Sus scrofa: one gene and its partners. The protein of the gene in region 1 purifies or fractionates together with the protein of each later gene. This does not show direct contact. Links are inferred from orthologs where the notes say so. Each region holds a gene or a part of one and is shown on either strand. Other genes may lie near its edges. The genes, in order: LSM4, PRMT5 and PATL1.

What was found.
Region 2: the proteins of LSM4 (region 1) and PRMT5 purify together in Homo sapiens (co-immunoprecipitation; 3 studies listed by BioGRID and IntAct, with this or other methods). This does not show direct contact. The link is inferred for Sus scrofa from reciprocal best matches to the Homo sapiens genes LSM4 and PRMT5.
Region 3: the proteins of LSM4 (region 1) and PATL1 purify together in Homo sapiens (co-immunoprecipitation; 4 studies listed by BioGRID and IntAct, with this or other methods). This does not show direct contact. The link is inferred for Sus scrofa from reciprocal best matches to the Homo sapiens genes LSM4 and PATL1.

Annotation. Positions count from the first base shown.
Region 1 is NC_010444.4:59,494,637-59,504,421, reverse strand, and holds the start of LSM4 (U6 snRNA-associated Sm-like protein LSm4), read right to left. Parts: upstream 4,863-9,785; 5' UTR 4,747-4,862; coding exon 4,744-4,746; intron 4,495-4,743; exon of another isoform or gene 4,434-4,494; intron 2,772-4,433; exon of another isoform or gene 2,332-2,771; intron 1-2,331. UniProt on the Homo sapiens protein: Plays a role in pre-mRNA splicing as component of the U4/U6-U5 tri-snRNP complex that is involved in spliceosome assembly, and as component of the precatalytic spliceosome (spliceosome B complex).
Region 2 is NC_010449.5:76,106,397-76,116,305, reverse strand, and holds the start of PRMT5 (protein arginine N-methyltransferase 5), read right to left. Parts: upstream 5,302-9,909; 5' UTR 5,297-5,301; coding exon 5,187-5,296; exon of another isoform or gene 4,951-5,186; intron 4,507-4,950; coding exon 4,388-4,506; intron 4,079-4,387; coding exon 3,993-4,078; intron 3,445-3,992; coding exon 3,310-3,444; intron 2,464-3,309; coding exon 2,351-2,463; intron 2,207-2,350; coding exon 2,157-2,206; intron 1,963-2,156; coding exon 1,799-1,962; intron 1,343-1,798; coding exon 1,181-1,342; intron 1,010-1,180; coding exon 932-1,009; intron 851-931; coding exon 792-850; intron 708-791; coding exon 585-707; intron 499-584; coding exon 323-498; intron 1-322. UniProt on the Homo sapiens protein: Arginine methyltransferase that can both catalyze the formation of omega-N monomethylarginine (MMA) and symmetrical dimethylarginine (sDMA), with a preference for the formation of MMA.
Region 3 is NC_010444.4:11,823,914-11,833,662, reverse strand, and holds the start of PATL1 (protein PAT1 homolog 1), read right to left. Parts: upstream 5,569-9,749; 5' UTR 3,853-5,568; coding exon 3,793-3,852; intron 3,716-3,792; coding exon 3,604-3,715; intron 1-3,603. UniProt on the Homo sapiens protein: RNA-binding protein involved in deadenylation-dependent decapping of mRNAs, leading to the degradation of mRNAs. Acts as a scaffold protein that connects deadenylation and decapping machinery.

The DNA of each region.
Region 1 (9,785 bases):
GGCAGCTGCCCTCTGGTCTTGGTACTGACCATTCTGGACATTTCTTTGTAGCTGCAGATACTCACACCTCTGATAGCACCAGCCCTCTGTGCTTATCAGCAGCATCACAGCACACAGGTCCTGCTGTTGCTTGTTTTTTGACATTTCTGAGATGTATCCATGTTAATACATACAACTCTAGCTAGCCCTTTTGTTTTCAGCATTGTAGGTGGTTATCATCACACCCACTTCATGGATGGGGATATTGCGGCTCAGAAACTGAGCTTGGCTTGACCCCCAACAGTCAGCAGCCAGTTCATGCTAGGCCCACATCTGAGGTGGGGGTGGGGACAGCCCTGACTGAACCAAGAGTGAATGGGCTAGGCACAATGCAACTGGGAGTCCACGTGATCTGAGGAGGCCACGTCTGAGCCCCCGTTCAGAGAGAGAAATTGAGCAGGTGAGAGGAAGAAACATTTCAGAAAAAGTCTGTGGTTACCGCAAGGGCCAGGAGACAAAAGGATGGAATTTAAAAACCCACCCAGATAAGGTGAACCTTCAAGATAGTTCTTTTTCCATTATTACTGATTTTATTTTATTTTTTTGATCTACTCGCAGCATGCAGAAATTCCTGGGCCAGGAATCAAATCCATGCCACAGATGTAACCAGAGCCACAGCAGAGGGCAGAGGCAACGCCAGATTCTTAACCTGCTGGAACATGGGAGTCCTGAATTTCTTTTCTTTTCTTTTTTTTTTTTTGTCTTTTCTAGGGCCGCATCCGCGACATATGGAAGTTCCCAGGCTAGGGGTCCAATTGGAGCTGTAGCCACTGGCCTGCGCCAGAGCCACAGCAATGCCAGATCCAAGCCGTGTCTGCGATCAACATCACAGTTCACAGCAATGCAGGATCCTTAACCCACTGAGCAAGGCCAGGGGTGGAACCCGCAATCTCATGGTTTCTAGTTGCATTCATTAACCACTGAGCCACAGTGGGAACTCCCCAAATTTCTTTTTTTAGAACATATAGTGTAACTGGGAAAGAAATCGGCTCTTTTCATTCTGGGAATGCAAATCACAACCCACACGCTAGACCCTGTCTCTGGGTCTCCAGAAGGGTGACTTGGATGGGAGTGCCTGGGTCCAGGGTCCAATGACAGCCTATCCAGTAGGGCCAGGTGAAGGTTCTAGACCAAGGGCCCCACAATATGGGACAGTGTCTCAGGGAGGATGACACCTTGCCCTAGTGACTTGGGAATTCTAAGTTGGCCTGACCCCCCAGAGTTCTTTGCAGGAGAGCTCCAGCCCACCCTTCACACTCCCAATAGGAGGCAGCCACTTCTCCAGGTGGTGGGGACCGTAAGGCCTCTCTGTGAAGAGGCCCTCCACCCCCAGAGGACGGCTCCCTATGGAAGGGCTTGGGGTGGGGGTGGCGGATGCCACATCCCACAGGCCTTCTCTGAGAAGAGCCACCTGGGGGAGATCCAGCAGTGGCAGGAAGCTGGGCCCAAGCCCACTTCCTGCACTGGCTTCCTGGAGGGGCAAGATAAAGAGGAGGAAGGTGCCACGTGGAGGAGAGGTGGAGGAGAGGTGGCTGGTCCTAGAAGGCAGCTGGGGGTCCCAACACAGGCAACATGCAGCCCCTGCCCCCTCCTCTGGAATGCATCTGTCTGGAGTTCCTGTTGTGGCACAGTGAAAACAAATCCAACCAGTATCCATGAAGATGTGGGTTCGATCCCTGGCGCTGCTCAGTGGGTTAAGGATCCGGCGTTGAAGTGAGCTATGGTATAGGTCACAGACGTAGCTCTAATCCCGTGTGGCTGTGGCTGTGGTATGGGCCGACAGCTGCAGCTCCAATTCCACCCCTAGCCTGGGAACTTCCATATGCTGCAGGTGTGGGCCTAAAAAGGAAAAAAGAAAAAGGAACACATCTGTCTGATGCTGCCTGAGCACAGCAAGCTGTGGAGAAAGAACAGGAGGCTCAGATATGCATGAGGGAGCCACAGAGCCAGGTGGTATTCTATTATAGAGAAGCTCAGGGTTTTCCTGGACAAGCCTGTTTGCTGTATCCACAACGGGAATCAGGACCAGAGCAATGACACACTTGAGTCCTCCTCCCAGATCACCGGAGACGGGGACAGGGCCAGGCCAGCCCCTGTCCTGGAAGGTGAGAATGAAAATGGACTGTGTGGAGAGGTGGAGGGAGTAGGAGTAGCACAGCCAAGGCCCCTCTAGATGAGGTACCAGCAGCTAGGAGGGACACCCAAGGATACAGAGCAAGGTCTGGGTAAAGCCGGGGAAAGCAGATTAATGCCTGTTAGCAGAAGACCCACAGATGTCCTTTTATGGCATACCTTGCCTTCAGGCTGTCTCTCTCAGGCTACCATCCTGTCCCAGCTACGAGTAGCACACCCCTGGAGGACCCACAGCCTTTGCAGCTGTTGCCAGCAGTGTGACCTCAGAGGACGGCAGCGACACAGATGGAACCAGCACCTGCTCACACCCTCCCCTGCACACCCGCTCCCTTGGCTAGCCACAGAGCCAGGCCTGACACGGCTCTAGCAAACTGGCCCGCTCACTTCTTCACACCACGCCTGGTGCTATTGGTCAAACTTTGTTCCTTGGTTCCCTCTACCTGGGGTGCCCTCCCCCAGGCTGGTGACTTCTGCTTCAGCCAGCCCCTCATTATAACCCCATCAAGGGAATGAGGTTTCCACCTGGGCCACCCTCTGCTTCTATTATAGGGTATAGCCAGTCTCTAATTAACTTGTTTATTTATTACGTCTCCCTGGCTAGACTGGAAACACCAAGCCTCTTGCTAGACTGGAAAATTCAGAGGGTGTGGACTTTGTCCAGTGCTGAACACTGGGCCAGGCACATGCAAGGGACTCAGTAAATATTTGCTGACAAATATAGCACATACCACCCAGGGAGGCACTCCAGGCAGGGGGTGGTGACAGGGGTGGGGTGGGGTGGGGAATACTTGCCACACCTCACAAGACAAGGAAAAGGAGAAGCTCAGGTAGGGAAAGGTGGCATTGGGACAGCCCTCCAAGACTTCAACAACCGCAGCAGTGGTCATATCTACTTCCTTGTTCCCAAACGCTGTTGGAGACAAAGGCCAAAGGAAGAGGAGGAACCTGGTGAACTTGAAAGCGAGGGGTATGCTGGGGTGGGGGAAAGCATGAAGGTGCCAGGGATACAGGAGAGGGCAGATCACCCAGTTCAGGGGGGAGCAAGGGCTGTGTGGAATTTGGAGTCATAAAAAGCTTCAGGGAAGAGAATTCTTTTCTCTAGCCTTTCTCAGAACATCTGGGGTCTGGCCCTCAGGTCTAGGTCCATCCACACCTAAATACATTTATTTATTTGCTTTTTAGGGCCGCACCCATGGCATATGGAGGTTCCCAGGCTAGGGGTCGAATTGGAGGTACAGCCACCAGCCTGCGCCACAGCCACATGGGATCTGATCCACGTGTGCAGCTTACACCACAGCTCACAGCAACACTGGATCCTTAATCCACTAAGCAAGACCTGGGATCAAACCCCCAACCTCATGGTTATTACTCGGATTCGTTTCTGCTGTGCCACAATGGAAACTTCCACAACTGGATTTAATGGTGTCCTGAGGTTCCCAACTCAGGAAGCTGCTGATCACCCACTCCCTCACCCAGACCTTGGCTTGGCTTCCGCCCCACCCCGACCACAAGGAACAGGCAGTGTGTAATGCCTTAGCCACTCCTGAACACAGACTTTGCACAGACACTGTTCTAGGCTCTGGCAATATATGAGGATAAAACAGAGATCCTATCTCCATGGAGCTTAACAAATGGATTCTTCCACAGACCAACTCTACCCTCCAGAGAGACGAACAGAGAGAACGAAGCTGCTCCCTTCTCTCCATCCCTACAATGACCAGAAGAATTACTGAACCCTCATGGTCAGCTCCGAAAAATGTGCAGCGACCATCTTAGAGGACTCGAGGGCTGATGGGCCAGGTTCTCTCCCAGCTCAATTCCTCTGTGTGGGCCTCCATTTCCCTGTCTGTCACTCACTGGGGACACAGGCACGCTGGTTTAGATCTCCAATTTCCACAACTTGTGAGATGGCATGGCCCTGGGGAGACTTCCTGCCAGGGCCTCGATTTTTTTGTTTTCTAAACTGGGATACGGTTAGCCCATCCATGGCTGAAAACGCCCCCCCTTCCCCTGGAACCATATGCTGTGTGACCCCGGAAGAAGTTAACCTTGCTTTGGGTCTGCTTTTTAGTCTGAAAAGGAGAGGCATAAGAGGTTGCGCAGCTAGCATTCCAAGGGCAGTACAACCCCCGAAATTCCCCAGATTGGCTGAATTTGAGAAAGAAGGCCGGCCCCCTACTGCCTGGTGCTCTAGCTTTACTGTCTAGGAGGTCAGATCGGGTCGGATGCACTGGGAGCCATTTCCCCGTCCGAAAACTCACTCTGCTGCATTCACCGGGCCCTTCAGCAGGTCCCCTTCCTCTCTGGCCTCAGTTTCCCCATCTGCAAAATGGGAAGACTGCTGCCAGACTGCCATACTGTGATTTCATTTCTATCCAATCCCAAGCTCCCCCGAGACCGACGTGCTTGGTGTCCTGGGAGAAGCTCTTCCACTCTCCGGCCTGTCCTCCCCACCTTGGGCGAAGGGGCAGGACTCAAGGCCCAGATTACAGGCTGGCTCCACAACGCCCCTGAACCAACAACCGCCCCGAGGGCCCTTGGCGGCCGGCTCCCCCGTCGCACCGCCCTCACCATGGTGTCGGCGGGGACTAGGCTCGTGGGCTACTTCCGCCGCCGCCGCCGCTCACGTTCCCGCCGGTAGCTGCAGCTCTGCGCGCCACTAGGCTGAAATGGAGTGGCAGCAACGCGAGCCAGTCAGCACGAGGCTCATGGGAAGGCCAACCAATCCACGCGGAGTAAGGCGGGGCCTATTAAACACGAGGGGCGGGGCGGGCCGCGTTCCTACCGGAGAAATGAGAGAGAGAGTCGTAAAGTGCCGCTATGAGTGCTGCAAAAGGGGGCGGAGCAATGTGCGCCGGCGCAGGAGGCCTTGTGGGTAAGGGCGCCTGCGCAGGTGCAATCTTCAGTGATTTTTCCGGGCTCCACGCTGTGGGCAAAACGGGGTAGTGCCTCCAATTTCCAAATGGAGGAATGGCAGCTCTATGGTTATTGCCATGTGTCCCTTCGAGCTCCTACTCTTCTGATTCTCTTTATTGTAGTTGACCGTTGTCCAGGGCACTTCTTTTGATAGGCTAGACGTACCGGTGTGAACCTCAGTTTGCTTCCCTTTGAAATGGGCTTAATAATAGTGTCTGCTTTAGAAGGTTGCAATGAGTGCCAAGTGATTTATGCCTTGTAAAAGAAGAGTGCCCGGCACGTACTGAGCACTTGATACACGGACATGCAATAAATATTTATTGAGCATCTACTACGGGCCTCCTCCTGGAAACACAGAAGAGAATAAACCAAACAAAACTCCTGGCCCTCCTGAGGTTTAGGAGCCCACTGGGGAGGCAGACTGTAAACAAAATAGACAAATGTATTAGTTTCCTTGGGCTGCCATAACAAATGATCAAACTGGGTGGTTTTATTTTTTTATTTTTATTTGAATATTTTTTGCTTTTTAGGTCCTCACCCATGGCATATGAACGTTCCCAAGCTAGGGGTCGAATTGGATGGAGCTACAGTTGCCTACACCATAGCCATGGCAATGCAGGATCTGAGCAGCATTTGTGGCCTACACCGCAGCTTCCTTAACCCACTGATTGAGGCCAGGGATTGAACCTGAGTCCTCATGGATACCTAGTCCGGTTCCTTACTGCTGAGCAACAACAGGAACTCCAAACTGGGTGGTTTTAAACAGTAAAACTTAATCCGAAAGACTGAAATCAAAGTTTTAGCAGAGTTGGTTCTTTCTGAAGGATCTGAGGGGCAATTCATCCCATGCTTCTCTGCCAGCAATCCTTGTAGTTCTTGGCACAGATTCCTCTGTCATCACATGGTGCTTTTCTTTGTGTGTCTCTGTGTCTCAACTCTTCCTCTTTTTTTTTTTTTTTTTTTTTTGTCTTTTTGCTATTTCTTGGGCCGCTCCCGCGGCATATGGAGTTTCCCAGGCTAGGGGTTGAATCGGAGCTGTAGCCACCAGCCTACGCCAGAGCCACAGCAACGCGGGATCCGAGCCGCGTCTGCAACCTACACCACAGCTCACGGCAACGCCGGATCGTCAACCCACTGAGCAGGAGCAGGGACTGAACCCGCAACCTCATGGTTGCTAGTCGGATTCGTTAACCACTGCGCCACGACGGGAACTCCTCTTCCTCTTTTTTTATGAAGGCATTCCTTTCTCGTATTAGGCCCTTCCTAAACTCAGGTTAAATTTCATCTTGAGATCCTTAATTATATCGACAAAGACTTTATTTCCAATAAGGCCATATTCACAGATATGGGGGTTAGAACTGATCTCTGTTATCGATGTTCTGTTGGAACATTAGCCTGCAGTTGAGCAAGATCAAACATGAAACTATTTTATTTATTTATTTATTTTATTTTTTGTCTTTTTGCCTTTTCTTGAGCTGCTCCCGCGGCATATGGAGGTTCCCAGGCTAGGGGTCGAATTGGAGCTGCAGCCACGGGCCTACGCCAGAGCCACAGCAACACAGGATCCAAGCCGCGTCTGCAACCTACACCACAGCTCACAGCAACGCCAGATCCTTAAACCACTGAACGAGGGCAGGGATCGAACCCACAACCTCATGGTTCCTAGACAGATTTGTTAACCACTGAGCCACGACAGGAACTCCAAAACTATTTTATAATAAAGTGTTGAATAGCTTATGTGATTTATTGAATACCGTACTGAAAGTAAAAGAACAGTTATAAGTGTATCCCTTCTTTACCATTGTGAGCATATGACTGACTGGGAGCTGAGGCTCGCTGCTACTGCTGAGCATTATGAGAAAGTACCTTACTACATATCACTAGCTTGGGAAGGGATCAAAATTAAAAGTTCAGGGAGTTCCCGTCATGGCGCAGTGGTTAACGAGTCCAACTAGGAACCATGAGGTTGAGGGTTCGATCCCTGGCCTTCCTCAGTGAGTTAAGGATCCGGCGTTGCCGTGAGCTGTGGTGTAGGTTGCATACGCGGCTCGGATCCCGCATTGCTGTGGCTCTGGCGTAGGCCGGCGGCTGCAGCTCCGATTAGACCCCTGGCCTGGGAACCTCTATACGCCGCAACTGCAGCCCTAAAAAGCCAAAAAAAAAAAAAAAAAAAAAAAATTCAAAGTTCAATTTCTACTGAATGCTTTCACACATTGTGAAGTCGAAAACGCTAATGTCAAACCATCTTAAATTGAGGACTGTCTGTAATCATCTCTGCCAATCGAGGTTACTGTGTGGAGTGATCAAATGTGAAACCCATATAAAGTGTGAAGCACCTGATAGCCCTGAACCAACAGTTGTCCTTCATGTCTTTTTTTTTTTTTGTCTTTTTTGCCTTTTTCTAGGGCCACACCCACGCATATGGAGGTTCACAGGCTAGGGGTTGAATCGGAGCTGTAGCTGCCGGCCTACACCACAGCCACAGCAACTCAGGATCCAAGCTGCGTCTGCGACCCCCACCACAGCTCATGGCAACGCCAGATCCTTAACCCACTGAGCAAGGCCAGGGATCAAACCCTCAACCTCATAGTTCCTAGTCGGATTCGTTAACCACTGAGCCACGACGGGAACTCCCCTGTCCTTCATGTCTTAAAATGGGATCTGCCCTCCCCCAGAAGCTGACCCTGAGATGAGGACTCACAGACACATAGAGTATGCAGGGGGAAAACACCAGAAGCCCCCATTGGGAATGGATACCTGAGATAGGGAGGGAAGGAGCTCTGCAGTGGACATTGATGAGCAGGTGACAAAGTGGGCAACTGAGGGTTAGTACAGCTGTGGACCGTCGGGAATCAACATAAGAGCTTGTGTCTCATAGAGGCCCCACCCAGGGTCAGGGCAGTGTTTATTTCCGCCTTCATCATTGGCTTGAGGATGCTCCCAGGGTTGCTGGTGAGGTCTGGAAAGTGTGCAGAACGCTGGATATGCCAACTGGGTTGAGGTGACTAGCCAAGTATTGTTTGCCGCAGGTAAAGGCCGTTGTGATGTAAACAATAGAAACTGGGATACATGAAGTGCTCCAGCAACAACACGCTGGTAGAAGTAGGAAGAAAATCGCATGTCGGTTCACATCTTTGTGACTTTTCTAGACTTTTCTATGTGCAGTCTTTCTCCTTTTGCGCAAGGGATCATCCTTTAAAACTCTGCTTGGGTGACCCCGTGTGGCAGACTGCGATTACTGCAGTTTGAGTTAGCTCTTTCAACTCCGGAGTTGAAGTTCGGAGTTCTCCACCCACTTGGGCATAGTGATTGGTTAAAGGGGAACACGTGACCAACCGAGGGCCATTAGACTATCCCTATCCCTTGGGAGGTCTAGGAGGAGAAGAGCGCTTTCCACAGAGGTTTTTAAAAGTGCGGTAGTGAAGGTCCTGTGCCATCACAACTGATCTTCTGGAATAAGTTCTTTGCCAGGTTTTTTGTTTGTTTTGTTTTTGTCTTTTCGTCACTTTAGGGCCGCACCCGCGGCTTGTGGAGGCTGCCAGGCTAGGGGTCCAATCGGAGCTATACGAGCTATCTGGCTACACCAGAGCCACAGCGACGCCAGATCCGAGCCGCTTCTGCCACCTACGCCACAGCTCACGGGATCGAACCCGAAACCTCATGGTTCCTAGTCGGATTCGTTTCTGCTGCACCACGATGGGAACTCCTTTTTGCGGGTTTAATCTGAAATACAAAGGAATTCCTCTGTGGAGAAGAGGCATGGTTTGATCAGATATTCCTGAGGTTATAAGACATGACTTTCCACTTATAGGGGCCCAAGAATTTGTCCTTTGTTGCTTAATTGACTTGGAGTTTGGATACTGTCCTTAGCATTTGGCAGAGCCTGCACTAATGCACAGCTGCTCTTTGAACTTTTCAAAATTTAAACATTCCCCCCTAAACTTTTTTTTTTTTTTGGCTGTACCCTCGGCATATGGAAGTTCCTGGGCCCTCAACCTACACCTCAGCTGCAGCAACACTAGATCCTTAACTTGCTGTGCCAGGCTGCGGATAGAAGCTGTGCCTAGGCAGTGACCTGAGCTGCTGCAGAGACAACACTATTCTTTCCAGTCCAGTTTAAATTGTATTTCTGGCAGCAGAAACCTAAAGAGTATGAACCAATGTACCTATTAAATTAATAAAGATACACTACCCTCCACTTTAAAAAAGGGGGGGAGGAGAGAAGGATCATAAAACTCAATTCTGGCAATGTTGTGAAACTGGTAGACATACGTTTTCTTTTTTTAATTTTCCCTCTCTTTTTTTTTTTTCGTGTTTTGGCCACACCTGCGGCATGTGGAGGTTCCCTGGGCATGGGACTGAACCTGTGCCACAGCAGTGACTCAAGCCACAGCAGTGACAATACTGGATCCTTAACCCATGTGCTATCAAGAAACTCCTATGTTTTCTTTTAAGGAGGGAAAAATGGCTTTATGTTTGAACATCTATAAAAGTGTCATACCCTGAAACTCAGTAATTTCTGCTAAGGAGGTCTTACAAATGAGGGGAACTGCTCCATGCCAAGGCCTTGCAGCAATGTTGCCAACTTTAAAACAAGAGAAAGAATGTAAATGTCTAACAGCCGCGGGGACTGATTGAGGAAGCTATCTATGTTTCCTCCATTAGACAGAATATTTTAAATGTATTAAAAAAATTAT
Region 2 (9,909 bases), on another chromosome or scaffold:
TAACTCTCTTAATACAAAGTCCTCTGAGATCCTGATGAAAGCTAAGCCCAAGGTACATATCATGTCAGCTCAGGGAGTTCACAGACCTCAGATTGAGTCTTTGCTCTGGTCCTCCCCTCATCTTACAGACGTGAACACCTAGGTTCAGAGAGACTGCTTCATTTGCTAAGGCTCCTGCCCCAAGTCTACCCGCCTTCCCCGCTTCCCCTAAACCTTGCAGCTTCCTCTAGGCTACTGCCACACCCATCCCTCCCCAACCCGCTCCCACCTTCCCAGCTGATAATCCAGTCCCCTTATGCAATACACCCCAGCCTAGAGGCACCTTTTAAGAAGTGCTGGGCTCCATCCAGGCACTCGGGTGACAGCTCATTGTCAGCGAAGGACCCCAGAAGCTCACTGACAATGATATCTGCTTTCTCTGGAGCCACCCATTCCCGCATGTCCGAGGAGACTACTGTCACCTGGCTTCCCCATTCTTCAAACTGCCAATTCTCCAGCCTAAAACAGAGATGATACAAGTGAGGACACAGCTAAGAAAAACTGGCACTGGGGACAAACTTGCCAACAAGGAGGTTGCTACTCACGTCACCACAGCATTTGGGTTCTTCTCCACAGCGTACAGCTTTATCCGCCGGTCAGCCTGCTTGGCTGCCCGCAGGGAGGCATTCACCAGGGGCCCCCGGCCCGCTCCCAGCACCATGAGCACTCTATGAAAGAGACAGGAGTCAAGCTGACTCGGCATATAGAGACACAGGCATGCAAAGCTCTGGGCTCATGGGGAGAGCACTCACTGGACGTTGGTGTCCTTCTCCTCCTCTGGCACTCGGTCTAATAGACATTTATAGATGGCCTGGGGGAAGAGAAAAGACCTCATGGTTGTAATGCCATCCTCACCCAGGTCATCCTAGCCAATCTGAGATCCACACTATACCTGCTGGTATTGAGAGTATTTGATGGGGTCCTTTTCAAACACTTCATATGTTTGAGATTCCAGATTATCCATCAGTGGCTGATGAAATGAAAAAGAGAAAGTAAGTGAGCCAGTTTCTAGCAAGGACAGTGCACCAGAGTACCAAAGCCTTCCCACTGCTCCCTGAGCTTTGTCAGGATTTTCAGGCACCTGCTCTCAGGAGACATTTCCGTCCGCCACCTCCCTCCTCTCAGTGCACTCCAGACCCACCTGGAGTGGGGACTGCAGGTAGTCTTCATAGCCCTTGGCAAAGAGTTCGTAGGCATTGGGTGGAGGTCGGTTCTGGCTCAAGTATTCTAAGTATTGGAGGTAGGAGCAGAACTCCTTCTCTGAGTGGTGGTTGGTGCCTGTAATGATGAACTGCACCTCCAACTGCGAGGATAAGTCAGACCATCAGACACAATCTTTAAACCAAGAGGATATTATTATGGTTTGTGGGCGAAGAGCTCTAGCATAAAATATGGCCCAGATCAGCAGTTCTCTGGTCCAACAAATACCTCCAAATAACAACAAAAGCAGCACAAACCCTCCTATGCCACATAAGCATCATCCTGGCCCATGGCTCCTTGTTGTAACTTCTTAAATGAAACTTTCTGCAAAGTTCTCATGAGACCTGGTTCCTTTTGAAATATTTCTGGGCCTCCTACTGCTATTTGTCTTTTTGCTCTCAAGACCCCCAACTTTGCTGAAATTGCTCTCCAGAAATTAGAAAGGAAAAGAGTTAGCCCCACAGAGAGAGAAAAAAAAAAAAATCCATCATACATATATGTGTGAATAAGGCAGCAAGAAGAGTAGCTGGAGCACGTTTAGAACCTTTCTACTACACACCTTGAGGAGTCGGAAGATCAGCCTCTGATGCATCTTAGAAAGAACAGGAAATCCCTTCTTATTGGTCAGGAAAATGCTGGTGGGGAGAATGGCTGCTTTGATGGGCTCCCCAAGCCAACGATCAATGACATGATTAGATGGAAGGTCAGCACCAATTTCAAGAGCTACACAAGGGAAAATATCTGTCAGTCACTGATAAGCCAGAAGTCTCTCCTTGCTCTTTTGTGCAAGATCTATTTTTCTCAAGACAAGGCAGACTGAGGCACAGGGAAAGGAGCAAGCACATATACACGAAATTCCCGATTCTTCATCACAGAAGGTCAAAGGACAACCTATGCCAGGACCTTCATGGACTTACCCACCGCAATCCTTTTGCTATAGTCACACAAGGTTCGGAAGTTGTGCCACCTGTTCAGTCAAACACAGGAAAATACAGTCAAATATATATAGCCCACCAACCACCATACCTCAAGGAGACCCTCCTGCAGGGCCCACCCTGTACTTCCTCTCACCCTACCCTTTGCCCTGGCACAGCAGCAGAAGGAGACATACCACATCCACGTCTTCTCCTCTCCGCTGTACTCCTCTGTGTGTGATGCTGGTGCATTCTCGATTATATCATCTCTTAGGTCCTCTGGTGCCACCAATGGCACCCGCATCCAGAACTGCACATGAACAATAAATAGCTTCTGTACCTTAATTAATTAATTAATTTATTTTTGGCCGTGCCCTTGGCATGTGGAAGTGTCCAGGCTGGGGATCAAACCCCACCACAGCAATAACCCAAGCCGCAACAGCGACAACACCAGATTCTTAACCCACTGCGCCACAAGAAAACACCTCTCTGCCCTATTTAGAACTCTATTTTGAACTCATTGGGTCCAGAAGCTTCTTTCAATTAAAAAGATCTTGATCCAGGAGTTCCTGTCATGGCACAGGGGAAACGAATCCGACTAAGAACCACTAAGAGCTAAGATTGTGGGTTTGATCCCTGGCCTCCCTCAGTGGGTTAAGGACCTGATGTTGCCATGAGCTGTGGTGTAGGTCGCAGACACGGCTCAGATGTGGCGTTGCTGTGGCTATGGTGTAGGCCGGCAGCTACAGCTCTGATTTGACTCCTAGCCTGGGAACCTCCATGTGCCACAGGTGCAGCCCTGAAAAGACAAAAAAAAAAGCTTAAACATAAATAAATAAAAAGATCTTGATCTAGATTTCAACTTAATCCCCTTACATGCTTTTCCCAATTGTGATTTTATGTATGTGCACACGTATCTCGTGTACATCCTTATGTAAGTATCTGCCCTGTCTTTTACTTTATTATAAGTTTCTGGAGATAATAGAATATGCTATGTATTTTATAAGTCTCTGCTTACCACTTTTAGTTGTGGGTAGGCAGGACTGACATTTAAATTCTGCCTAATGCACCCTTTACTGAATGGCTAGGAAAAGAAGATATTTAGCACAGCCTGACTACCATAATGTGCAGCAGGAAAGGAGGCCCTCAGCCATACCATGGAGGAGTGGTGGCCAGTGTGGATGTGATTAGTCAAAACTCTTGCCAAGTTTGTGTTATCTTCCTGATTTAGGGGCAGCAGGAAAGCTGGAAGACCCAAATAGGCCCCAAAATTCAGCTCCTGTAACATAGCCTAGAATGGAGAACAAGAGGCAAAGTTAAGAGCTAGCAACTCAAACAACCTTTTTTTTTTTTTTTTTTTTGTCTCTTTAGGGCTGCACCCACGGCATATGGAGGTTTCCAGGCTGGGGGTCCAATCAGAGCTGAAGCCGCCGGCCTACGCCACAGCCACAGCAACTCAGGACCTGAGCCATGTCTGCAACCTACACCACAGCTCACGGCAATGCCGGATCCTTAACCCGCTGAGCAAGGCCAGGGACTGAACCCTTGTCCTCATCCTCATGGATGCTAGTTTTTTTTTTTTTTTTTTTTTTTTATTTTCCCACTGTACAGCAAGGGGGTCAGGTCATCCTTAGATGTATACATTGCAGTTACAGTTTTTTCCCCCACTGGATGCTAGTTTGATTCATTAACCACTAAGCCACAAGGGGAACTCCTCAAACAGCTTTAAGTGCATTACATCAGATTTACTAAGTTATGGAGGGGAAAAATCTGTTCTCCCCATCCAGGTTGTTTACAGATCTGATCTTTAGAAAGATTCGGTGAAGATGTCAGTCTTACCGCCTCAGAGTTCCTGCGGATCTTCTCCACTTTTGAGTCTGGACGAATCCATGGGGAAAGCTTGCCCACAATTAGTGTATTCCAGTCTGCACTCCCCAACCCAAGAAAGACAAAGACTGAGTGAGGTTCAGCACTTTATGCATTCAATTTCTATTTCTTAACAGGGAATAGTAGAGATGAGAGACAAAAGGCTTTTTCTATCACAGATACAGGAAAGCCTGATGCAGAATAGGAAACTAAGGCTTTGAGCAGTAAGCAAGGAGAGAACAAGAGTTATCCATATCCCAGGGTTGAACAAATACATCCAGGTCAAGAAAGGAAGAGGAAGAAGGCACTGATAAAACATAAGTTGTTACTGCCTCTAATAATTAAGGGGCATGTGGGATGGTCCCTACCCCTTCCTGACAGCAGTAGGTCTGATCGTGTCTGGGGACCCGGCCGATTCTTAGCAGGTTCCTGAGTGAACTCCCTCTTGAAACGCGGGTGGAAGACAGGCATGCAGAGGAAATCAAACCTACAACCACGACAGACCCAGAATCGTCATGTAAAGAGAGTAGCAGTGCCCAGCGATCCAAGCAATTGGACTAGGCTATCTCCATTCTGCACAACCCTTTCAGCTGCCATTAGTCAGTCACTCGAATGGGCTGCTGAATTCGGCCCATTTTAGGGAATATCACTTCCACTGCGTTGTGCCTCAATTTCTTCCCAGAACAGAGCCATGGAAAAGATGAGAAAAGAGAAAAGATGAAAATCCACGCCACGTGGACTTTCTACTCTGTTGTCACTGATTTTCCAAGACTGTCATATCCAGATCTGCTCCAGTACTACCCAGGCTTCAGCCCTCAAGGTTCATCTCTCCTCTCCCTAGCCCCATAACACTTCCTCCCACTCTGAGACAAGAACCTCGCACCTCGCTCTCCAGGGCCCTTGAGGTCGTACGCCCTCTTTTTGAGTTTACCTGATAACTCTCTCGACTTTGGGGTTCAGGGACCACACGTTCCCAATATGTCTTTCTTTCTCTTTCTCTTACGCTCCAGGGCCGGAGGCTTCTCCCTACATGGACTAGCGGTTTCTCCCACCCTAATCTTATCCACTCCGACCCCCTCACCCCTGCTTCCCAGGGATGACTGGTCTGCCCCTCTCAGTCCCCGAGTTCCGACCCCGCATTCTGTTCGCGGAAGTCCAGGCCCTCACCCCTGCTTGGCCACAGCCCCCAGTGTGTCAGCTATTTCGGGGACGCAATTCAGGTCCCTCCCGCTGGACACGCGGCTTCCACCGGCACCGCCGACCGCCATCGCCGCCATCTTTTCCCTCGCGCAGTCCACGCCGAGATTCCCTGACACTGGCAGCCAATCACAAAGCCGAAAAAAAGCCCCCGGAAGGCGGGACGAGTCTCCCTGACAACCAAAGCGTCTCCCAGGGTCCCGAGCAAGTGGAGGAGGGGTGGGAAGTGGCTCTTCCTGCCAATCCGCAGGCTGCACAGTGACGTAGGGCACGGCTCCGGAAGAGTCACCAATCTCAGGGTCTGGTTCTCGACAAACTTCGATCTCCCATAATGCTTCATGTACTGGTAAAATTCCGGTAAGAGACTACACGTCCCATGAAACCCTGCAGTATAAGCTTGAAGTGTCATCATTGAGAACGAAGAAGTCGTCTCAGGGCCAGTGGCGCAATGGATAACGCGTCTGACTACGGATCAGAAGATTCCAGGTTCGACTCCTGGCTGGCTCGGTGGGGCTAACGCTTTTGGTGCATCCCCTGCAATGCTTTAATGCCCCCTTTTAAAATTTCTTCGCTGTCCTCTCTCGCTCTCATTTTCAGGTCTTAATGTTATTGCATTCTGCAACTATTTCATGCCAGCGTTTAATAATACCTAGTTCAAAGATGGTTCTTGTGTCCCTGCCTTGGTGCATCCAAATGCACCAAGAAAACTGAGTTAATGGCTGGTGCTCTTAAAATGGATTTTGAATGGGCCTTAGTATATTTTTAAACAGATTGTGGCAATTCAGCCACAAATTCCTTGTGATTCGGTATCTCAAATACAAAAAGCAAACACTGAAACACACACACCACTGAAGATAAAGGAATTCATGGTGAGAGATTACAGTGGAGAGAAGTTATGAATTGACTGGCAGAGACAGGAAAGAGTCTCTACATTTTTCTTTTCCATGCTTGCTAGAGGGATGGAAAAGAAGGAAAGGAATGAAGCAAAAAAAGATCTAGGCAGGAGAAATACCTGAAGGCAGGAAGCCCAGAGGTGTTGCGGACTTGGCAGCGGGGAACGGAAAAGAGAATCAATACAAAAGGCCCTAGGCAGGAGGCCTTGACAGAATTTAGAGACCGACTGACAGGGAGTCTGAGAAAGGGAAGTCTGGGGGTGATGCCCAGAGTTCTGGCCTCTTTGAGCGAGACAAATGATAAAAGCTGGTTTAGGGAGAATCGAGGCTGGGGTTTGGAAATGCTGACTTGGACGTCTAGGGGGCGCTGTGTAATAGAGAGTTGTATGAACAGTGATCTGAACCAGACAAGATTTGCAAATCGCCAGAAGAGAGATAGTGACTGAAGCCAGGAGACCGAATGAGATCGCCGCAGTGGACGACAGAGTCCTGAGAAACACGGAATGTGTGTGGATAGGCTAAGCTATAAGGGAATACATTGTAAGCGCCCCAAAAGGATGAAAGTCAGAAAGTCAGAGAACTACGAAAATGCCTATGAAGCCTAAAAGAGTTGGAGGTGCTTGTGTCTCATCTTACTATTACTAGAATTTGTCTTTTTTTTCTTTCCTTTTTTAATGGGAAAAAAAAAAAAAAAAAAAGGTATATGGAAGTTCCCTCCCAGGCCAGGTATCCAGCCCATGCCTCTGAAGTGACCAGAACCGCTGCAGTTGGATTCTTAACCCACTGTACCACAGTGGCACCTCCTAGACTTTTTCTTAAAAGTTTTAGATTTGCAGAAAAATTGCAGAGATAGTACAGGAGTTCTCACATTCCACCCCCCCATCTTTCTCTATTATTAACATCTTAACGTTAATATGGTACATTTACCTGCTGAGCCACCAGGGAACTCTTGATATGTTATTATTGATAATTATTAACTGAAGTCCATAGTTTATTCAGATTTCCCTAATTTTTACCTAATGTCTTCTTTCTGTTCCATGATCCCATCCAGGGTACCATGTTACATATAGTTGTCATATCTGCTCATGTCTGCTTAGGCTCCTCTTGGCTATGACAGTTTCTCAAATGTTCCTTGTTTTTTGCTTTTTAGGAGCGCACCCATGGCATATGGGAGCTCCCAGGCTAGGGGATGAATCGAAGCTACAGCTGCTGGCCTACGCCACAGCCTCAGCAACACGGGATCTGAACCCCAGCTGCATCCTACACCACAGCTCAGGGCAACGGCAAATCCCCAACCCAGTGGGCAAGGCTAGGGTTTGAACATGCATCCTCATGGATACTAGTTGGATTTGTTTCTGATGTGCCACAGCAGGAACTGCCAAATGTTCCTTGTTTTTGACAACCTTAATTGTTTTGAGTAGTATTGGTCAGGTTTACTGCAAGACAGCCCTCTATTGGAATTTGTCTGATGGTTTTCTCATGATCAGACTCAGGTTATGGTTTTGGGAGAGGAAGATCACAGAGCTCAAGTGCCATTTTCATCATGTCATATCAAGAATACATACCATCAACATGATTTATGACTATTGATGTTGACCTTTATCACCTGGTAGAACTAGTGTTTATCAGTTCTCTCCAGTGGAAAATTACATGCCTTCCCCCTTTCCATCCTGTACTCTTTGGAAGTCATTATGTGCATTCCACACGTAAGGAGTGCGGAGTTATTCTTCCCCTCCTTTGAGGTGGAATGTCTACGATATTTATTTGAATTCTTCCCTGCAGGTCTCATGAGTAGGGACTTAACAGGAAGTGGGTGAGTGCTCTTCTGACATTTTAAGAAGAAAAAGAGTTGTTGGGCAGGCCTGCTTTTTCTCTCCCCCAACTGTGCCCAACCAAACTCCACATTCACAGAAGACTTATTAGATGTTGTTTCGTCTTCAGAAGCTAATTATCTGGGCTGTGGACCATCTGTGCTCCTGGCATCTTCCTCCTAATGTCAAGCTGGTGGCTGCTCTGTTGGTTGTTAACTAACCCATCCATGGATGAAAGGGAGAGAAGAAAATCTATGAAATGGTAATGTCAGTTTTGCCATCAGTAAAATAATTTTCAAAAGAATTTGTGTAAAAAGAGCCTAGAATTTCTAACTGACTTTAAAATAAGTTTGGATGGGCTGAATTTCATTTGTCTGGGATGTCTTTGTTTTTTCATTCAAAATTGCCTCCGCTGTGTGGCAAGCGTGATGCTGAACAGAGAAATTCCATACCACATCACACCCTACCTGTCCTATTGCATGTTCCTTTGCCTTAAAGAACAGCATGGACTGTGGGTCTGTCTATATGAGCTACAGACGAGCAGAGGGAAGGACTGAAAAAGAAATAAAGAACCTGTTGTAGGACTTAGCCCTAGACATAAAGCCAGAGTCGGTAGAGTCTGTCTTATGCTCTGTTTCTCTCCGCTCTGCTCTTCATGCTGAACTCTTGTGCTCCAAAGTATGTCCATCACTGTTATATTATAGAATGCAGGCCTTTGCTGAGATGAAGACAGGGAGATGATGGGTAAGAAATAATGTTATTTTCTCCAACAAAAGCTGGTGACCAACAGGGCGGAGCATTGGAAACTTTTCTGGAAGGAAAGGAGTACCCACACCCAGCATTCCTCACCTTCAGACCCAGTTGTTCTACCTGCTCCTGGTTGTATGTCCTTGTTTCAACACTGCCAGTCCATTTTAAACCCTCCTTTCACCTTTTCTTGGGCTCCCCTCCTCCCTCAGCACTTGCCTCCCTCCCCAGCATCACCTTCACTCACCTCTGTGCCTGCCCAGCCAGCCGCACTCTTCAACACCAAAATAATGGCCCGTTTGACCCTCCTACTGCTCCAAATTGCTTCTTCACAATCAAGGCTGTCCTCGAGCTACAAAAGTGGCAGAGTTACTGAGGCAAAATAATCTGTGCCAATTTGCATTCTCTTCCTTGTCATCTCTATTATACAGTATTTATCTGTCAAAATGAATTGAAAGTAGAAACTGTTCTGGAACATAGAAAAAGATGGAAAACTACCCGATTTGTTTATGAACCCAGAATATACCTAATACCAAAAACTATCGGAAATAGCACCCTCTCAAAAAAAAACCCTATAGACCTATCTTGCTATGGATATAAATGTAAAAATCCTAAAATATTTAAGATTAACAATAAAAGCCATGAGTATATTAACACAATAATAATATGCCAGAATCAGTTAGGGTTTATCTCAAGAATTAACGCAAAGTAAGGTATTAGGACATTTATTTATATAACAGATCAAAGATAGAAAAAATATTTGATCATTTTTAATAGTCATCAATGAGAGAATGTGGTGGATCAATTCCATTTTCTTTTCTTTTCTTTTCTTTTTTTTTTTTTTAGGGCCGCACTAGCAGCACATGGAAATTCCCAGGCTGGGAGTCGAATCCGAGCTGCAGCTGCTGGCCTGTGCCACAGCCACAGCCAGAGCCACAGCCATGCCAGATCCTTAACTGAGCTAGGCCAGGGATCAATCCCACATCCTCAGGGATCCTAGTTGGGATTGTTAACCACTGAGCCATGAAGGGAACTCCTCAATTCCATTTTCTTAAACATTATTTTTTGTCTTTTTAGAGCTGCACCCATGGGATATGGAAGTTCCCAGGCTAGGGATTGAATCAGAGCTGCAGCTGCTGGCCTACACAGGATCCGAGCTGCATCTGCAACCTACACCTCAGTTCACCACAACACCACTGAGTGAGGCCAGGGATTGAATCTCCATCCTCGTGGATGCTAATC
Region 3 (9,749 bases), about 48 Mb from region 1:
TACTATTTTGCTCCTGTCAGCATTCAAATACAGATACCTTTCCCTCCTCACTGAAGCTTTCCCTAAATAATCTTTTCACTTTAATCCTACCTTTACCTGTTCTAAACATGCACCAAAACCCATGTAATTTTATTATTTTAGTTTTGCTTTCTATGTCCTACAAAATCGAACACAGAAAGAACATAAAATTCCCTTTATAACCAACATAGAAACAAAGAATTCTGAAAGTCTCCTTAATGACATTCTCCCCATACAATTTCTCCATAGACCTCATTTAAAGAAAGGAGAAAGAGGATATGCTAGTGCCTGACCCTGCTCCACCCTGGTCAAAATGATAACGGGCAGGGAAAAAAATAAGAGAAATGAAGGGAAAGAGATGCCTGTTTTCCTTCAGCCAATTAACCTATACCCTGATGTGGGTTACTGAATTCCTGGTTGCTTTTATAAACTTAAACTTGTGGTAGTTCCCTCAAGTCTGTCTAAGGGATATTTTTAAATAAAAACAAAATGGAAAGGAAGTAGAGGTGATTTAATTTTAGCGCAATCTCAGTCCCTAAAGATTTTAGCAGCTATCAATAAAAAGGAAGTAGAGGGAGCTCCCCTGTGGTCTAGTACTTAGGACTTGGGTGCTTGACAGCTGCAGCCCTTCCATGTGGAGGCAGGAGAGTCCTAAAGACTCCACAAAGACTGTTTAAAATAACTGGTGGTCTACAGTGACTGTATTTATGGTTACTTAACCTCTTTGGCACCTTCCTTCGTTTGCTAAAATGAGGATAATAATAGTATCTAACTCACAAGGCTACTGTAAGGATTAATGATATATGTAAAACATTTAGAATGGTCCTTAGCATAGAATAAGCACCTTGTAAGTGTAAGCTTTTATTTTTAGAGAATCAGTTGAGAATACTGTGGCCCATTTATTGCTCAAAGATGATACAAACATTTTTCCACACAGAAGACAGTGACTGGTTTCTTAAGGAAAGGTGACATCAGAGCATCCGTAGCCAGAGACTTAAAATAACTACCGCACCAACAGGTATTATTCAAGACACTCCTTGAGTTAAAAAAAACCATCAGGCCAAAATGTATGTCATAGGTCTGACATTTTACTTCCCGGTTTAAATTCTCTATACCAGCTCTATATCCACCTGTAGAGGTATATTAAACAAATCACAGGTCGCTAAGAAAGGAATTTTTAGAATTTTCTTTTTATAAAGCTGTATATTATTTATATTAAGATGTTACGAGAAACAAGAGTTTAACTTTACAATTCAAGTATATTATACTCTCAAAGGTAAGGGCTCACATGTGGAATTCTTTTTGCCATTATAAACTTTGTTGACCAAGAAGACCTTAATCATCCTTGTGCCTCAGGGTGCAAAATGGGCTAATCATATGCTACTTCACTGCCTTTACTTTTTACCATCTGTTCTTTTCCTGTGTAACCCTAAGGGCTTTTTCAATGTGTGTACTTCTCTCTTCCATCATATAAAATATTGTTTTGCACACTTTAAAATTCTTTTAAGGCAGTACTTTCCCTATCCTGCGAGAAATATAAACTCAGAAAAACAACAGTAACAAGAGACTGTCCACAACACCCTAGAAATCAGTGAGAAGGTGAAACTATTCCTCTCCTATCCATGTTCAAAAGAGAGGACATTTACTATGCTAACAGTATATCTTCATTCTTTTTTTTTTGGCCACATCTGTGGTATGCAGAAGTTCCCAGGCCAGGGATTGAACCTGTACCACAGCAGCAACCCAAATAGCTGCAGTGACACCACCAGATCCTTAACCTGCTGCACCACAAGGGAACTTCATAATGTATTTCATTTTAATATAAGCGAATTTGCTAAAAAATGGTAACATTAAGTTCAATATTTTAAGAGAAAAAGTTCCAGATATAAGCACACACTGTCCATAGCTTCTATTGTATTCTATAGGTTTTTACTAAAGTTTCATGTACAATTTGCAATTCACATCAGTTCCCTGCTTTTGTAATTCTAGTCTCCATCCGCCCCCTTCGCTGTGATCTCCATGGAGAGAGAACAGCATCTTAGATCACGTCGTCTTCTTGGACGATCTCATCCCCAAACTATGGCTGAAATCCAAAAGGTCTTCGGTGCCCTCTTCCACAGAGCCCAGCTTTCTAACTTAAAGGCTTCTCTAGCTGCTCCCAATAGCAGCAGTTTTAGTTCTCCAGTGAATTTTGTAAACCCTGATTGAAGAGAGTATACTTTTTCATTTTCGCCAGTTCACTCAACTCATTCTAAGCTTTAATAAATTTAAGCTGTTTATTTCACTGAAAAACCAGTAACCAAAACATTTTTAAGACCCTTTATTTGTTTTGGATATTCAACATTTTAGGATTACCCACGACTGATAAATTTCCTCTTCTTATTACTTAACTTTGAATATCTGTTGCTTAGATAGAAGTGCAAAGAAATCCCACATTCACACATCCCAACATAAATGAAGTCGTTGCTGCTTTTCAACACCATTAGTCAAAGCGGAGATATCTGCATTGATTCTTATCTTCTTTCCAAAGTACAATTTAATTTTAACTTATTAGCATACTTGCTCTAGGGTCTCTAATTCTCAAACTTTATCATACAAGCTTGCTCCCTGAATCTCCCATTTCAGTAATTATAAGCCTGTGGCCTCTAGCTGACTTTGGTTTTTTAGTTTTTTGATCTTTTCCAACTCCTAGAATATTTATCTATACCCAGGGCTGAGAAAATTTCATTTTTTTTTTTTTTTTTTGTCTTTTGTTGTTGCTATTTCTTGGGCTGCTCCCGAGGCATATGGAGATTCCCATGCTAGGGGTTGAATCGGAGCTGTAGCCACTGGCCTACGCCAGAGCCACAGCAACTTGGGATCCGAGCCGCGTCTGCAACCTACACCACAGCTCACGGCAACGCCGGATCGTTAACCCACTGAGCAAGGGCAGGGACCGAACCTGCAACCTCATGGTTCCTAGTCGGATTCGTTAACCACTGCGCCACGATGGGAACTCCAGAAAATTTCATTTTTGCACAACACCTTTCTAACTTACAAAGACCTCTTACTACCAAATTCCTGGAATAAAATATGTAATTAAATATACTTACTATAGGACAAAAGCAGGGTCAGGCCATATAAAAATTTTCAAACATACATATATGAATCTTAGTTTTCTCCTAATGCACTAGTTTTCCTTAAGTTACGTGTTTCATGAAAAAAAACAAAAAAAACAAAAAACTTCCTTCTCTATCCAGTGTTGCCATGAGCTGTGGTGTGGGTCACAGACGTGGCTTGGTTCCTGTGTTGCCATGGTTGTAGCGTAGGCTGGCAGCTATAGCTCCAATTCGACCTCTAGCCTGGGAACCTCCATGTGCCACAGGTGCGGTCCTAAAAAGACCAAAAAAAAAAAAAAAGTCCTTCTTCTAGGATTATTTTAAGCCTTTATAAAATGTCCACTTGTCTAACCATTTGAATTTCTTATAGTGTCAACTTAGAACGATAGATCATAAAGCTGGAAAAGACAAGGCTTAGAAAACACCAGATTTTCTAAGTGAGGCAAAAAGAGACCAGAGGAAGACAAAAGTACTTAATATCGCTTACCAACTGCACCTGACCCAAATGTATCATCATTGAATTGATCAATCTCTTCATCTTCCTCTCCCAGCCCCTGAAACGCATCTTCATCTTCATCCAGAGGACAATCCTCCAAAGACTTTAAGAGAGAGAGAGAGACTGATAATTCGTGAAGTTCACAACCTCACTTAAAAAATGTTCTAAAAATGTTCTTACCTTCCCAATCAACACAATAGCTTCATTATGACTTTTTGTACAGATGGCATTTTTTTCCATCCCCCAATTTTCCCGACATTGGAAGATTTGCAAATCGTTTCTTTCAGCTTCTCTTTCCTATTCCTTATTTCATTTAACCTCTTCCCCCAAATTTCCATTTCTCTTTTCAGCAAGAATCTAATAATAGCATTTCCTCATGCAACCAAGAAATTAGGCCTGTAACTTCCTTTCCATCACTGGTTACAATAATGACAAATGAAAGCAAACACTTTACATTTTGCTAGAGTTTTACATCTATTTTTCAATGAAATTCTTATCTTCCCCATATTCATGTCATCTTTTCAACCCTTTTATTATTCCCTTTTGAAGCTTTCTCATCATTTTTCCTCTTCCTTCTTTCTACAGGCCCAAAACTGGTGATAAAACAGAAAGCTAAGATTTCAATCACAATTAAGTAAACTCTTGAAAGGCCGGGATGTGGCAAGTTTAAGTTCTGTCTCAACTCTGACAAGTGATATCAACTTGGGCAAATCACAGCCGTTCTGATGAATTCATTCAATACCTCCTGAGCACCTACTGTGTCTCAGCCTGTATTAAGGCTCTAAGCCACAATCTCTTAGGTGGTAATACAAGGACACCACCACCTGCCTCAGCAAGTAGTGAGGATCAAAGGAGAAAAAGATTGAAGCAAACATTGTGTATTGTTAAACAATGCTAGATATCACTTGGGTATGTTCTACTTTAAACACTCCCCCCCCCATTTCATTTATTTTTCCAAGTTTTCTTTTCTTTGGGGAACTTTGCCCCACCACATCTCAGCATGTCTCTCCATGTTTACATATAGTCAGTTTGATCTCGAGCCATTCCCATCAAATAGCAAGAATACACAGCCCCAATTTTCAAATACTCAGAATCAGAATTCCACACTCTCTGGCAGGCACATTTGTGATAACACCTTGCCGGCTATTTCTCAGCTAGGCTGTTCCCAAAAGAAACGTTAGGCCAAAGGGCCATCTTAGGTCCTTCCAAACTTAGACAAAGCAAGCATGTGCAACTGCATCCACATCAGAGGCAACTTCCAGAAGCATTCCCAAATCACAAAGATCTACTTCACCGAATCACTGCTTTTTAGGTTGGAAAGGGATCGTCTAGACCCACCCTTTCTACAAATCCAGAAACTCTGTCTAGTGATTAGCAGTCGCTAAAGGTCATACAGAGACTCAGTGGTAGCGTCATAACTCTGTTGCTGTATTCCAGGGACCATCACGAACCCCCAGTTTCCCTCCATTCGCCCAGAAAAAACTTCTGCTGGACACGCCCCTTCCCCACTCGGAGCTCTCATCAGTAAACAGTCTTCCGCCCCAGTCAAAGGGCAAGTGCAGGCCCGGGTGACCTGACGGTTGCCTGCGAGTAAGGGGCTATGTGTAATTAATGCGAGATGATAGTTCTGGGTCTTAGGCGGGAAATGCGTCCCTGGGCTTTACCCTGTGGCTCTTCCTTAAGCCTTAAGTGCCACCGGGTGGGTGCAAGGCTCTCAATGCCGAGCCCCACCGGGGGTACGGTGGGGTGGGGGGTGGTTGGTTACCGCACTTAACGGGCCCTCCCCACCCCCAAACAGAGGTCAACTCTCCTCAGTAGCAACTGATAGGACAGTCCCGCCCCCACGAAGCCAGCTCACAGCCCTTGGACTAAACCCGCGACCCCAGAGCCCACACACTCTGCTCGGTCCTGCCGGCCCCTCCGCCCCCCCTTTTCCCCCCGAGGGGCGCGGACCGACGCGCTGAGCGTGAGAGAAACAGAGAGGGGGGCGCGTGCCGGCGGGAGGGAGGGGTCACTTCCGGTCGCAACAGCTCACCTCGTAGCGGAACATTCTTGGGGAGGGGGGGGAGGGAGCGGGGAGGGGAATGGGGGAGGGAGGGAAGAAGCGCTGACTCTCCGGGCTCCTCCGCGCGCGGGTCCTCCACCGGCTCGCGACCCCTGGCCGCCGCCGTACGCCGGAGCGTGCGTGGGAACGTGCGCAGGCGCGCCTCGGGGAGGGCGGCCGCCCCGCTCCGCGCCCGGCGGCGGCGGCTGCGCGGGGACAGATTTGGCGTCCCGCTTCCTAGTCTCGGCGGCGGGAAGGAGGTCCCGTGGCGAGAGACTGCGCACGCGCCACCCGTCGGGGGCTTCCTCGCGATCCGAACCTGTAGCTCCGCCCCCGGCTTCTCTGCGCCCGCCCGACGCTGAGGTTCGAGTCACGAGTTTTCCGTCACCGACGGGGCGGAGAAAAGCCTTGTGATTGTCACAGGATATGGCTTTGGAGAGTCCCAGGCTTAGCTTAGGCTGGGAGAAATGGACATTCCTGGGCACTTTTTCCAGCGTCCAACACCGTCTTCGGGTTGCTTGGCGGTCTTCACGACATACGATAGGCACCGAGTGGAGGGGAAAAAAGTTAAAGTTCAGGTCATCGAAAGGGGCTGAGTTCGTCGCCACTTTCAGCGGCACGTCACCCGCTGAGTCAACAGCAGGTCAGGGCTGTGATTTATGTGTCTCAGAGATGAAGGCTTTTTTTTCCTCTTTTCTTTAAACCGAAGGCTTATTAGGGAGGTTCAACCAGGGAGGTATTTTTAGGGCTCAGGCACATCAAGCGTGTGGAGTGAGGGAGCCAAAAAAGGCAGCACAGCCGTGGGCAGCAAGGTCATCGAGGCTGAGTGCGCCGTAGGGTGACACCACCTCCTTAGAGGATCAGGACCAGAAAAGCATTTGTCCAGGTGCCTTGGCAGCCTGTTTTCAGAAGTCTCTTTGGAGAACTGTTATCTCCGCTAGCCGAACTCACTCTTTCCCCTTGAAGACTAAACTTGGCTACGAAATTTAGTCCTTGCACCACGAATTCTTGTGCAGTTTCGCAACTCCTTTCTCCGGTGTCTTAAAGTGCAGCCTCGCCTGGGAGTGGCATAGAGTAAATTCCTTACGTGGTGGTATGACCGGATTAATCAGAGCCTGAGTAGTGGAAACTTGGATTTGGAAATAGAAGTTCTGGGTGGGAATCAGTGCTTTGCCACTGGGCCGTCAGATTTGGGGCAAGTTACCTAAACGTGTCTGAGCCTTAATTTCTTTGGAAAACGGGATTAATGATACCTGCCTCACAAAGTAGTGGTTCAATGGCATGATGATTCCAGTAGTACTTCTACTGATGGTTGAAGTCTGCCTTATGCCAATCCGGTGAGGTAGGTGGTATTATTTTCTCCATAGATGAGGAATTTGAGGATTAGAGATGTTAAGCAGTTTATCCTAAACCACTCAATGGCAAGCGGCAACCAGGTCTCTCATTCCAGAAACCCAGTCTCTTAATCATTGTGACAGTTTAACAAAAGAGGATATTTACATGGGACAGACCTAAATGTTAAAGTGGAGCAGGCTGGGGATAAGATGATAACTTTTAAGCACGCATAGAACACTACAAAAGTTCATGTATTAGGTAGGGGCACTTCTTAACAGTGAGAATTGGTGCCATATAGACCAAAGGTTGGGAAAGTGTGACCCACAGCCAAATCTGCTTAGCTGCCTTTTTTTTTCAAAGTAAAGTTTTGTGGGAAGACGGCCATCTTCATTTATTTACATATTGTCTTTAGTTGCTTTGGGGCAACAAAGGCATAATTGAATACTTTCAATGGAGGCTATTTGGCTAGCAAAGCCTGAAATAATTACTCTGGCCCTTTACGGAAAGAGTTTGCTGATTCTAGATGTTGCAGATCAAGTTTTCTGATCATTATGTCAGAATTTTTTTTTTTTTTTTTTTTTTTTTTTGGCTGCACTGGTGGCAAATGAAGTTCCCGGGCCAGGGATCAAATCCAAGCCACAGGTGTGACCTTTGCCACAGCTGTGGCAACACCAGATCTTTAACTGGATCTGCACCAGGCAGGGAATGGAAATTGTGCCTCAGCAGCGATTGGAGCCACCTCAAATACAACACTGGATACTTAACCTACTGTGCCACAATGAGAACTCCAGACATCAGAACATTTTAAAAAACTCCACACTTCTAATTAATGGACTGCTTGAGAAAACATAGTGGAAAGTAGATAAACTTATTAACGTATAAAGACTTGAGATACAGCTAAAGCAGTTTCTATGAGAGAATAGGAAAGCCTGAATGTAAATGAACTATAGGATGATGTCAAAGAAAGGATAAATAAGGAAATAGTAAAGAGCAGAAATGAAAGAAACAGAAAACAAGATAGAGATGGTCGATAAAATTATGTTTTTCTCATGCAACAGCTGTCTTTGAGGGAGATGAATGAGGGCCACTTTAGGCAAATGTATTTTCTTGAGCTGTGTAGGCCCATTATTAAGATGGAGAGGGTAAAAATTCTTTTCACAAGTAATTCTTTCGAAATAAGATATGAGGCCTTTGGAGAGTGTCTCTTGAGTGAGTGGAAGAAAAGTCTCTCCTGCACACCAGCTAGGTGGAAAAGGCGATTGACAGTTGAGAGGCGACATCAATTAGCATCGCTATCATGCTTTCTCTGGCCTTGCCATCCTTTTTCCAAAGGTTGTAAAAAAAATCCACTGCGGTATTTACAGATTCTATACATCCTATTTCTTAGATCATGGTAAAGGAACAAAATGTACTTTTTGTGAGCCTAGTTTCAGATGATGTATTAATTTTCATCAAGTAATGTACAACAAGTGTTATACAACAGCTTCACCAGGAGGGCTTGTTAAAATAGACTCCTGGGAGTTCCCCTTGGGGCTCTTTGTTAAGGACCTAATGCTGTCTCTGTGAGGGTGTGGGTTTGATCCTTAGTTTCACTCTGGGTTAGGCTGTGGCATTGCTGCAAGCTGCAGCATGGATCAAAGACGAGTCTCTTATCTGGTGGCCATGGCTGTGGTGTGGGCATGTAGCTGCAGCTCTGATCCGACCCCTAGCCTGAGAACATCCATATGCCACAGGTGCTGCCATAAACAAGAAAGAAAAACAAAAACCAGACTCCTGGGCCACCCCACTCCCCAGATTTTCTGATTCAGCAGGTCTGCAATGGGACCTAAAAATTGCATTTATATGAAGTTCCCAGGTGATGCTGATGCTGTTGGTTCTAGGACTAGGCTTTGAGAATGGTTGCTTTTAAACATTGTCCTCGGGTGCTTGCAAAGGTTATAAAGAGGTGGGGAAAAGAGTGGTGGGCTGCCCAGAGGGTCATTTCTCATGTAGTCTACAAGGTTGTAACAAATGTCCTAGAAAGTTACAGGGAGGAACCCTTGGTGCAGCAGATTTTAGGACAAAAGGCTTAGCAATATAATAGAAATTAAAATATAATGCAAAACTTGTAAACAAGGCCACAGAGTCTTTGTCCTCTCTGAAGAGGTGTTTTCTGTTTCCACCATTCCTTGAATCTGGCCTGGACTGTGATAGACCCGTGGAGTGCTGGGGAGGCGATGCAATGTCAGCTGTGTCTAGTCTTTAAGAAGACTGACAATGTAAGTCCATGTTAGATGCCCACTTGTCTTGCTGAAGCGGTCACATGAAAAGGCCTTGGCACTACATGGAGAGGGAGACGGGTCCAGCTGGATCCAGTTTACCAGCCACACAAGACATGTGGATGAAGCTGTCTTGGGCTCTCCAGACCAGTTCAGCTGCCAGCTGAATATCATCGAGTCACCCCATTCAGCACCACATGGAGCAAATACTCTCTCAACTGAGCCTTTCCCAAAAACCTCATCCATAAAGCTGTGGTGTTAAAATAAAATGACTGTGGTTTTAAACCACAAAATTTTGGAGTAGTTTGTTACTCATTAATAGGTAACCAGAAGTCTGTGTAGAAAAATTATACAAAACTTGGAAATCAGGAAAAAGGGTTTTGTGTGCCCTTTCTGTGATGTAATAAGAGCACTGTCTAACAAGCCTACTTGAGAATCATTTGAAGTTCTAGAAGAGGTGACTTTATTTGACTTAGTATTTACCAGTAGTGAGTTACTAG